3 linked regions of the Callithrix jacchus genome follow. The protein of the gene in region 3 interacts with the protein of the main gene of each other region in a pairwise test. Links are inferred from orthologs where the notes say so. Each region holds a gene or a part of one and is shown on either strand. Other genes may lie near its edges. The genes, in order: ZFY, MEAF6 and L3MBTL2.

Evidence for each region.
Region 1: the proteins of L3MBTL2 (region 3) and ZFY interact in binary tests that used the Homo sapiens proteins (3 or more experiments, as listed by UniProt). The two-hybrid records come from large-scale screens. The link is inferred for Callithrix jacchus from reciprocal best matches to the Homo sapiens genes L3MBTL2 and ZFY.
Region 2: the proteins of L3MBTL2 (region 3) and MEAF6 interact in binary tests that used the Homo sapiens proteins (3 or more experiments, as listed by UniProt). The two-hybrid records come from large-scale screens. The link is inferred for Callithrix jacchus from reciprocal best matches to the Homo sapiens genes L3MBTL2 and MEAF6.

What each region holds. Positions count from the first base shown.
Region 1 is NC_133525.1:4,094,601-4,098,251, forward strand, and holds part of ZFY (zinc finger Y-chromosomal protein), read right to left. Parts: intron 1,751-3,651; coding exon 1,598-1,750; intron 506-1,597; coding exon 365-505; intron 1-364. UniProt on the Homo sapiens protein: Probable transcriptional activator. Binds to the consensus sequence 5'-AGGCCY-3'.
Region 2 is NC_133508.1:74,062,540-74,066,190, forward strand, and holds part of MEAF6 (chromatin modification-related protein MEAF6), read right to left. Parts: intron 1,725-3,651; coding exon 1,637-1,724; intron 1,504-1,636; coding exon 1,458-1,503; intron 1-1,457.
Region 3 is NC_133502.1:192,016,977-192,020,627, reverse strand, and holds part of L3MBTL2 (lethal(3)malignant brain tumor-like protein 2), read right to left. Parts: intron 3,502-3,651; exon of another isoform or gene 3,407-3,501; intron 2,148-3,406; coding exon 2,014-2,147; intron 1-2,013. UniProt on the Homo sapiens protein: Putative Polycomb group (PcG) protein. PcG proteins maintain the transcriptionally repressive state of genes, probably via a modification of chromatin, rendering it heritably changed in its expressibility.

The sequences.
Region 1 (3,651 bases), on a different chromosome or scaffold from region 3:
TAACTTATCCTGCTGCACTGTAAATTATGCCTGTTTGATGCTGCCATCAGTTGATCCATGTAATTTTGTTCACTTAAAATTAGCTAACATTTTAAAAATGTATTTTCCTTTCCACTAAAATCACCAGAGGATTTTAATTCTTTTTCCTGAATGTTTGATGCACACCAGTTTCTTTTTATCCAAGGAAATCATTCTTGAATATTGAAGAATTCTGAAATTCTTTTTTCAAATAAAATACACAAAAATACATGTGGCCTAGCAGCTTAAAGTTCGGTCATTAAAACACCCCTGTGGATACATAATACTATAGTTTCTTCTGACGGCTCTCAGAGCACACTGCACCATGGAACTCATGAACCCTCACCTGTTTGGTACTGCCTGGCATCAGATCTTCTCTTTTTCTTTGGTTTTTGTTTAGTCAGTCTGCTGAGGCCAACAGACTCATCTACATGCAAGACAGCACTTGCACTGCCATTCCGGTTTTCAATTCCATCAGAATTATTACCTAACAATGTGCATTAAAACACAAAATTACACAGCATTATAAATTCTAAAGATTTGGAATTATTTATTAACAATGAGAAATCCTGACATGAATGACAGAAATTCCCTATTTTATTTTATTTTTTATTTTTATTCATTTATTTTTTTGAGATAAGAGTCTTGCTCTCTTACCCAGGCTGGAGTACAGTGGTACACACTTGGCTTACTGCAACGTCCCCATCTTGGTTTCAAGCAATCTCCTGCCTCGGCATCCTGAACAGCTGAGATTACAGGACCACAGCACCATGCCCAGCTCATTTTTTTTTTGTTTTGTTTTTAGTAGTGAGGGGGTTTTGCCATGTTGGCCAGGCTGATCTTAAACTCCTGACCTCGGGTGATGCACCTGCCTCAGACTGCCAAAGTGCTGGGTTTACAGGCCTGAGCCAATACACTCGGCCTGCAATTTTAGATAATGGGTTTTATGGAAATATTTATGGCAAGACCATGGTTAGTACCTAGCTTCTGTATCAAGCAGGATGTTGCTCTATGGGACTCCCTTCTTATCTCCCAAAATTGTAAAGTTATGAGTCACATATAAACCAAGATTTAAAATGTGAGATTGAAAGCTCCTGACTTCTCAAGCCTGTAATCCCAGCACTTTGGGAGGCTGAGGCGGGTGGATCACGAGGTCAAGAGATGGAGACCATCCTGGTCAACATGGTGAAACCCCGTCTCTACTAAAAATACAAAAAATTAGCTGGGCACGGTGGCACATGCCTGTAATCCCAGCTACTCGGGAGGCTGAGGCAGGAGAATTGCCTGAACCCAGGAGGCTGAGGTTGCCGTGAGCCGAGATCGCACCATTGCACTCCAGCCTGGGTAACAAGAGCGAAACTCCTTCTCAAAAAAAAAAAAAAAAAAAAAAAAAAAGCTCCTGGCTTCTTACATAATAAAGTCACGAAAAAAGTTCATATTAAAATTAAAGGCAACAGGGAGACTATGTAATCTTTCTCTACATTTGCTCAAATCCTGAAACTCTAAGACACAGAAACCATTTTCAACAGTTAATTAATGTTCAAAAACATTCAATCCTTCTAGCTACTATGTAACTTACCATAAGCTGCTGCCCATGCAATTGGCACAAAGGTTTTCATTTCGTCCTCATCAATTTGCTGTTCATGCATAGCAGCTGCTGCTACAGTAGCAGGAGCATCCTCTTCTCCTACAATCACTTCCATATAAACTTCATCAGCAATTTCAGCAACGTCTAAGCAGAAAATAAATTTAAAATATTTGTGACTGGGTTTACAGAGATCACACAGAAAAAAATGCATTAGTAGGAAAAAATAGATACTGGTTGAGATAGTCATCTGTTTCTTGGCTTTCACTACAATTTGTTTATAAAGCAACAATCAAAACATACATATCTTTCCTTGGAATATGGCAACACAGTATCGTCCATAACAGTGCTGCTGCTTACTTTTTTCAAATACTGGTTGCATTAAACAACAACAACAACTTGGTCAGGACATGGTGGCTCATGTCTATAATCCCAGCTCTTAGGGAGGCCAAGGCTGGTGGATCACCTGAGGTCAGGAGTTCGAGACCAGCCTGGCCAACATAGTGAAATGCCATCCCTACTAAAAATACAAAAATTATCTGCACATGGTGCTGCACGCTTGTAATCCTAGCTACTCAGGAGGCTGAGGCAGTATAATCACTTAAACTGGAAGCAGAGGTTGCAGGAAGCTGACATTGTGCCATTGCCATCCAGCCTGGCAACAGAGTGAGACTCCATCTAAAAAAACAAACAACAACAACAAAACCCAACTTGTAGAAACATTAAACCATCTCCCCACAAAAAAGCCATATGCTGGCACATATATACCATGGAATACTATGAAGCCATAAAACAGAATGGGTTCATGTCCTTTGCAGAGACAAGTATGAAGCTGGAAACCATCATCTTCAGCAAACTAACAGAGAACGAGAAAACCAAACTGCAGATTCTCACTCATAGGTGGGTGTCAAACAATGAGAACACATGAACACAGGGAGGGGAACATCACACACTGGGACCTGTTGGGGGTGGGGAGAGAAACAAGGGAGAACGTTAGGACAAATACCTAATGGACGTGGGGCTTAAATCCTAGATGATGGGCCAAGCGCAATGGCTCATGCCTATAAATCCCAACACTTTGGGAGGCAGAGGTGGGCAGATCACAAACTCAGGAGATGGAGACTGTACTACCAGGGTGAAAGCCCAACTCTACTAAAAATACAAAACATTGCCAGCCATGGTGGCACATGCCTGTAGTCCCAGCTAAAACTCAGGAGGTTGAGGCAGGAGAATCACTTGAACCTGGGAGGTGGAGGTTGTAGTGAGTCGAGATTGTGCCACTGCACTCCAGCCTGGGCGACACAGCAAGACTTCATATCAAAAGAAAAAACAAAACAAAACAAAAACCCACAAAAAAACCAAAAACCTGAATGATTGGTTCACAGGTGCAGCAAACCACCATAGCATATGTATATCTATGTAACATATCTGTACATTAGCCAGAACAATCAGGCAAGACAAAGAAATAAAGGGTATTCAAATAGGAAAGGAGGAAGCCAAATTGTCTCTATTTGCAGACAACATGATAGTATCGTCTCAGCCCAAAATCTCCTGAAACTGGTAAGCACTTCAGCGAAGTCTCAGGTTACAAAATCAATGTGCAAAAAATCACAAGCATTCCTATAAACCAATAACAGACTTAGAACCAAATCAAGAATAAACTGCCATTCACAATTGCTACAAAGAGGATAAAATACCTCGGAATACAACTAACAAGGAATACAACTTCAAGGAGAACTACAAACCACTGCTCAACTAAATAAGAGAGAACACAAACAGATGGAGAAACATTCCATGTTCATGGTTAGGAACAATCAATATCATGAAAATGGCCATACTGCCCAAAGTAATTTACAGATTCAACGTTATCCCCATCAAGCTACCAATGACATTTTTCACAGACCCGGAAAAAACCACCTTAAACTTTATATGGAACCAAAAGAGAGCCCGCATACCCAAGTCAATTCTAAGCAAAAAGAACACAGCAGGAGGCATCGCACTACCGGACTTCAAACTATACTACAAGGCTACAGTAATCAAAACAGCAT
Region 2 (3,651 bases), on a different chromosome or scaffold from region 3:
CAGAGTGAGACTCCATCTCAAAAAAAAAAGGAAATGTAGGATTAAAGCCAGGAAAAAGGCAGAGGGCAGAGCCACAGATTTAGAAATCTGTACATGGAGATAATGATTAAGTACTTCTAATTTCCAAACGACTAAAATCCCTTTCCTCATATCACTGCCACAATGCAAACAAAAGAACTAGATCCAACAACAAGATATACCATCTGAAAAGAAGTACACAGTAATACCGAGCACAGGCTGTATTTCAAGGTGATGAAATACACAGAGAACATCCAATACAGCTACACTGAGTCTGACTCAGAAAGATAAATGCACAAATTTATAATCCATCACTGGAAATCAGATTGTATGGCTTACATGCAAAAAAACATTAAGACAGAATTAATTTACAAAGTAAGTGGTACTGTCTCTCCATTTTCCATTTTATATTTAAGAACCGACAGGTACATCCTGTTTACAGGATGACCATTTCTTTTCTTTTTTTTTGACATGGTCTCACTTTGTCACCCAGGCTGGATCAGTGACATGATCATGGCTCACTGCAGCCTCAACTTCCTGGGCTAAAGCGATCCTCTCATCTCAGTTTCTGTAATAGCTGGGACTACAGGCACATGCCACCAAGCCTGGTTAATTTCTTAACTTTTTGTAGAGACAGGGTCTGGCTTGGTCGCCTAGGCTGGTCTTGAACTTCTGGGCTCAAGCGATCCTCCCACCTCTGCATTTCAAAGTGTTGGGATTACAGGCGTGAGCCACTGCATCGGGCCAAGATGAGCATTTTCTAAGAATTATTAAACTGGGTACATGGGTACTTGAGGATTTTTAAGATATATTTGAAATTGTCCATAAAACTTATTGTTTTAATTCCCTAAGAAGTCGTAAGATTTATCAGGAATGACAATATATCTTTCTGTCTTTGAGATGTAAAAGCCAATCTTCATGTGACAGAAGAGGCAAGAAAGGCTGCATAATTTCTTCCTCAAAAGGAAAAAATATGATTTGTCACACATGGTGGCTCACGCCTGTAATCCCAACACTTAGGGAGGCTTAAGTGCGAGGATTATTTAATGCCAGGAATTCCAGACTAGCCTGGGCAACATAGTGAGACCTTGTCTCTTTAAAATATTTAAAAATTAGCCAGGTGTGGTGGCAGATGCCTGTGGTCCTAGCTACCTAGGAGGCTGAGGCAGGAGGACTGCTTGAGCCTAGGAGTTTGAGGCTGCAGTGAGCTATGATCATGCTACTGTACTCCAGAGCTTGGGCTACAGAGTAAGATCTTGTCTGAAGTGGGGAAGTGGAGAAAACATGATTAAGGATACCCTAAAAGTTTAATAACTTCTAGGAAGAAGAGGGAAGAGCATAAGAAATGCAGTCCTCAGATACACAACCGTATGAATTAAATATAAGGGCTATGGTAGCTTAAAAATAAACTGATGAGAAACATAAAAACATAAACTTACTCTTTTCAATGAGCGGGTCCTGAACTCCTGCCAATGCACTTACTGCCTAAAAGAAAAGCCACCAGTTACTAGGAAAGTGACCACAGACCTCAGAAGAGCATTCCCAGAGGAAAGGAAGGAGAAAACTCACATTCCCCAACAACAGCCCACAGAAAGATTCCCCCACCGCCACCACTTACAGCTGCTGAGGTAACTGAGGATTTGCTGAAGAGTCGCTCAGCTTCCTTAAACTTCCGGTTCCTTCGATCATTTTTGCTATTGGAGTTTCTAAAACACACAGAAGAATCTCATTATGAGCACCAAGCTATGTCTATGGCTCAAGCTAGGAATGCCCCAGGACCCATGTTCCATACAGGAAGCCTCCAAATCACTTAAAATGGCCCAAATGACCTTTACACTGAACACAGAAAGCAATGTTTCCAATATATGGTATATGCCCCACTGTGGGACATGAGATTTAGTTGCTTCACATGTTCATTTTATGTATGTATGTATGATAAAGTCTTGCTCTGTCATCCAGGCTGGAGTGCAATGGCGTAATCTCGGCTCACTGCAATCTCTGCATCTCAAGTTCAAGTGATTCTCCTGCCTCAGCCTCTCAAGTAGCTGGGATTACAGGTGCCTGCCACCATGCCCTGTCACCCAGGCTGGAGTACAGTGGCACAATCTCGGCTCACTGCAATCTCCGCCACCATGCCCAGTTAATTTTTGTATTTTTAGTAGAGACAGGGTTTTGCCATGCTGGCCAGGCTGGTCTCAAACTCCTAACATCAGGTGATCCACTTACCTCGGTCTCCTAAAACGCTGGGATTACAAGCATGAGCTACCATAACCAGCCTTTTTTTTTTTGTTTTTGAGACAATCTCACCCTGTCACCCAGGCTGGAGTGCAGTGACAAAATCTCGGCTCACTGCAACCTCCACCTCCCGGGTTCAAGCAATTCTCCTGCCTCAGCCTCCCAAGTAGCTGGGATTATAGGTGCATGCCACCACACCCGGCTAATTTTTTTATCTCTAGTAGAGACAGGTTTCACCATGTTGGTCAGGCTGGTCTTGAACTGCTCACCTTATAATCCACTCACCTTGGCCTTCTCAAAGTGCTTGGATTACAGGAATGAGCCATTGCACCTGGCCTTATTTTTTTTTTCTTTTTGAAACAGAGTCTCACTCTGTCTCTCAGGCTGGAGTACAGTGGTGCAATTTCAGGTCACTGCAACCTCCACTTTCTGGGTTCAAGTAATTCTCCTGCCTCAGCCTCTATTAGAGTAGCTGGAACTATAGGTGCACCCCACCATGCCTGGTTAATTTTTTTTTTTCTTTGAGACGAAGTTTCAATCTTGTTGCCCAGGCAATGGCGTGATCTCGGCTCACCACAACCTCCACTTCCTGGGTTCAAGCGATTCTCCTGCCTCAGTCTCCTGAGAGTTGGGATTATAGGCATGTGCCACCACAAACAGCTAATTTTATATTTTTAGTAGAGACAGCGTTCTTCCACATTGGTCAGGCTGGTCTCGAACTCCCAATCTCAAGTGATCCACCCACCTTGGCATCCCAAAGTGCTAGGATTAAAGGTGGCATGAGCCACCACACCCAGCCAATTTTTGTATTTTTAGTAGAGATGGGGTTTTGCCTTCTTGGCCAGGCTAGTCTTGAACTCCTGATCTCAGGTGATCTGCCCACCTCAGCCTGCGATTCTAGGCATGAGCCACTGTGCCCAGCCCAAATGTATTTATTTTAATGTTTATTATTTTAAAAGTCCAGAACAGATTAGTGATATGAAGTGTCTCTTAAATAAACTTAATTCTCAAATTTAAAGAAAGAACCAGGGTTCCCAAGAGGAATGGCTGATACCAGGTCTTGGACAGAAAATGCACAAGGTAAATATGGGACATCTTTTGGGCCAGAAAGCAATGGAATGCTCAAAGAGTAATAGGGTCATGTCAAAATGACAAACAAGGCCGGGCGCGGTGGCTCAGGCCTGTAATCCCAGCACTTTGGGAGGCCGAGGCGGGTGGATCACGAGGTCAAGAGATCGAGACCATCCTGGTCAACAAGGTAAAACCCCGTCTCTACTAAAAATACAAAAAAATTACCTGGGCATGGTGGCATGTGCCTGTAATCCCAGCTACTCAGGAGGCAGAGGCAGGAGAATTGCCTGAACCCAGGAGGCAGAGGTTGTGGTGAGCCAAGATCAT
Region 3 (3,651 bases):
AGGAGGGCCAGGGATTTACTAAAGAGATCAGTGAAGCTGAAGCAGAAATCTAGGTTTAAACCCAAAACAAACCTGGGGGCTAATCCCAGTTCTAAAATTTTCAGTTGTTTACCTTTAAGTGAGTTACTAAAATTTCTTTTTTTTTTTTTTGAGACAGAGTTTCACTGTTGTTACCCAGACTGGAGTGCAATGGCACAATCTCAGCTCACCGCAACCTCCACCTTCTGGGTTCAAGCAATTCTCCTTCCTCAGCCTCCCGAGTAGCTGGGACTACAGGCACGCACCACCATGCCCAGCTAATTTTTGTATTTTTAGTAGAGACAGGATTTCTCGACTGCGCCCGGCCGAGTTACTAAAATTTCTGAGCCTTTAAAAAGGAATTTTTTGGGCCAGGCATGGTGGCTCAAGCCTGTAATCCCAGCAATTTGGGAGGCCAAGGCAGGTGGGTCACAAAGTCAGGAGTTCGAGACCAGCCTGACCAATATGGTGAAACCCCGTCTCTACTAAAAATACAAAAATTGGCTGGGCATGTGTGGCACCCGCCTGTAGTCCCAGATACTCCGGAGGCTGAGGCAAGAGAATCGCTTGAATCCAGGAGGTGGAGGTTGCAGTGAGCCGAGGCCACTGCACTCCAGCCTGGGTGACAGAGCAAGACTCCATCTCAAAAAAAAAAAAAGGAATTTTTTGGCTGGGTGCAGTGGCTCATGCCTGTAATCCCCGCATTTTGGGAGCCTGAGGTGGGCCGATCACAAGGTCAGGAGTTTGAGACCAACCTGGCCAACATAATGAAACGCTGTCTCTACTAAAAATTATCTGGGTGTTTTGGTGGGCACCTATAATCCCAGCCACTTGGGAGGCGGAGGCAGGGGAATCACTTGACCCTGGGAGGCGGAGGTTGCAGTGAGCCAAGATTGTGCCACTGTACTCCAGCCCAGGTGACAATGTGAGACTCTGTCTCAAAAAAAAAGGAATTTTTCTAAAAATCAATTTTTTCAGGGTCATTGATTTGACTGAGAATGTCAAGCCCTTTAAAGTACTCCCAAACTGTAGCTATTAATATTACCAATATTATTATTAGCTCTTTGAGGAGAGGGATCTTTCTGTGTCTTGACTAAAATCTACAAAATGGGGGAAACAATGATAATTGTCTCACAAAGGCAATACAGTGTATGAAGCAGGAAGCAGAACGATCTTGCGCACAGCAATTTCCAATAAACGTTGGTGGTTCTCAAGGTTTGCGGCACAGGAAGATCACCTGTGGCGCTCTTTAATCTCTCTGTCCAGGCTACACTCCATCCCAATTAAATCAGAACCTTGAGGAGTAGGACCGAAGCATCAGTATTTTTTAATTAAAACTTTCCAGGTGATCCCAACATGCAGGCTAATTTGGGAAGCAGTGTTGCAGATGCTGATCACAGCTACTGGGAAACAACATAAGACCAGGCCCCTGAAGTTGGGTTCCAGCCTCAGTTCTGCCACTCTCTTCCTACAGAGCCACACCAGGTATGTCATTCTACCTCCTTGGACTTCAGTATACTTATCAATAAATGTGTGGGTTCAACACCACATTCAATAATCTTTCCATGTCTCAAAAATTGGCAAGACTTTCTAGGTAGCTGCCTGTGACACGGAGTCACATGAGGCATGGTCTTCCTGAAGTCACCATGGCCGGTGAACCTTGGGTCTGCTTCCCAGCTTTCTTTCAAAGGATTTATACAAGTGTGGGGTGAAGACCAAGGGTGTCCTACTCCCCAGGGTTCTTGTTTAAAACGTACTGAGTACCCCAGACTCTGGGGGATGAAGGTAGGGAATGTAGGGTAGCTTCAGGAATCTATAAATTAACAAGCTCTATAAATGAATTATTCTATCCTCTGAAGTTTGAGAACATAATAAATACCAGAGGGCCATAAGCAAGATGCTTTTCAAACCTTCCTGGCCCTTGCCTCCAGTCAATTGGTGGCTCCTGTCTCAGCACCGAGGGTTCTGGGGAGGACCAAAGTAGCTGCCTCTCACCTGTAATCTGGCCAAGATACTGGCTTTCTTGGAGTTGGAGGAGTAGCTCCTGGAGCAGGAGACGCTGCAGAACCTCTTGGTCTTGGAGAAGAAGGCTTCCCGTGTACCCACGATACCACACATCTCACAGACAGCTGGGAAGAGAACTTAGCACATGACTCAGCTGCTACAGCCACCTCAAAGCAAACAAAATGATGGGCCCTTCAAAATATGGGGCACTGTGTTCACCGGGTGAACCCCTGCACCAACAAAGGCTAATGGAATAAGCGGAGGAATGGGAGGTACTGGTGGGTACATCTGAATCCACCTGAACAAAGTGCTGCTGCTTGGCCTCCCTCGACTACGTATGTCAACAGAGAGGCTAATGGGAACCCCTGAGGATGACTCGGGGTACAGGTGAGTGCTGAAAAGTTTGTGAGAGGAAAGTGAGATAGCCAGGTGTGGTAGCTGCTGTCTGTAATCCCAGCACTCTGGGAGACCAAGGAGGGAAGGTTGCTTAAGGGCAGGAATTCGAGACCATCATGGGCAACCTAGCAAGATCTTGTTGCAAAAAAAAAAAGGGCAAGGTGTGATGGCACACGCCTGTTGTCCCGGCTACTTGGGAGGTTAAAGCAGGAGGTGCTTGAACCCAGGAGGCTGAGGCTGTAGTGACTGAGGATCGCACAACTGTACCTCTAGCCTGGGCAACACAGTTAAAACAGTCTCAAAAAATTTATAGGAAGAAAAAGTGCCAAAGTCACTTAACCTCTCTGGCTCTATTTTCTCATCTATATAGTAAGGAGACTGAACTAGATCAGTGTTTTAATCCTGACTTCACTATTAGACCCACCCTGGGAGCTTCTAAAAATGCCCCAGCTGGCCGGGGGCAGTGGCTCATACCTGTAACCCCAGCACTTTGGGAGGCAAGGTGGGTGGATTACCTGAGGTCAGGAGTTTTAGACCAGCCTGGCCAACATGATGAACCCTGTCTCTACTAAAAATACAAAAAATTAGCTGGGCATGGTGGTGGGCACCTGTAATTTCAGCTACTTAGGAGGCTGAGGCAGGAGAATCCCTTAAACCTGGGAGGCAGAGGTTGCAGTGAGCCAAGATTGCACCATTGCACTCCAGCCTGGGCAACAAGAGCAAAACTCCATCTCAAAAAAAAAAAAAAAAAGCCTGAGCCTAAGATATTAATGAATTGGTCTGTGATGGGATACTGGCATCTGTAGTTTGTTAAAAGCTCCCCCAACGATTCTAATATGCAGAAGCCCTGGTCTAAGTGGTCTCTAATGGTTCCTTCTAGTTCTAAATCCTAAGATTCTAAGAGAAGGTTTGGAAGAAGATAGAAGGGGGAAAAATAAAAGGCAAGAGACAAAAAGACAAGATGAGAGCTGGGCATGGTGGCTCACACCTGTAATCCCAGCACTTTGGGAGGCCGAGGTGGGTGGAATCACGAGGTCAAGAGATCGAGACCATCCTGGTCAACATGGTGAAACTGTGTCTCTGCTAAAAATACAAAAAAATTAGCTGGGCATGGTGGCACATGCCTATAGTCCCAGCTACTCAGGAGGCTGAGGCAGGAGAATTGCCTGAACCCAGGAGGCGGAGGTTGTGGTGAGCCGAGATCACGCCATTGCACTCCAGCCTGGGTAACAA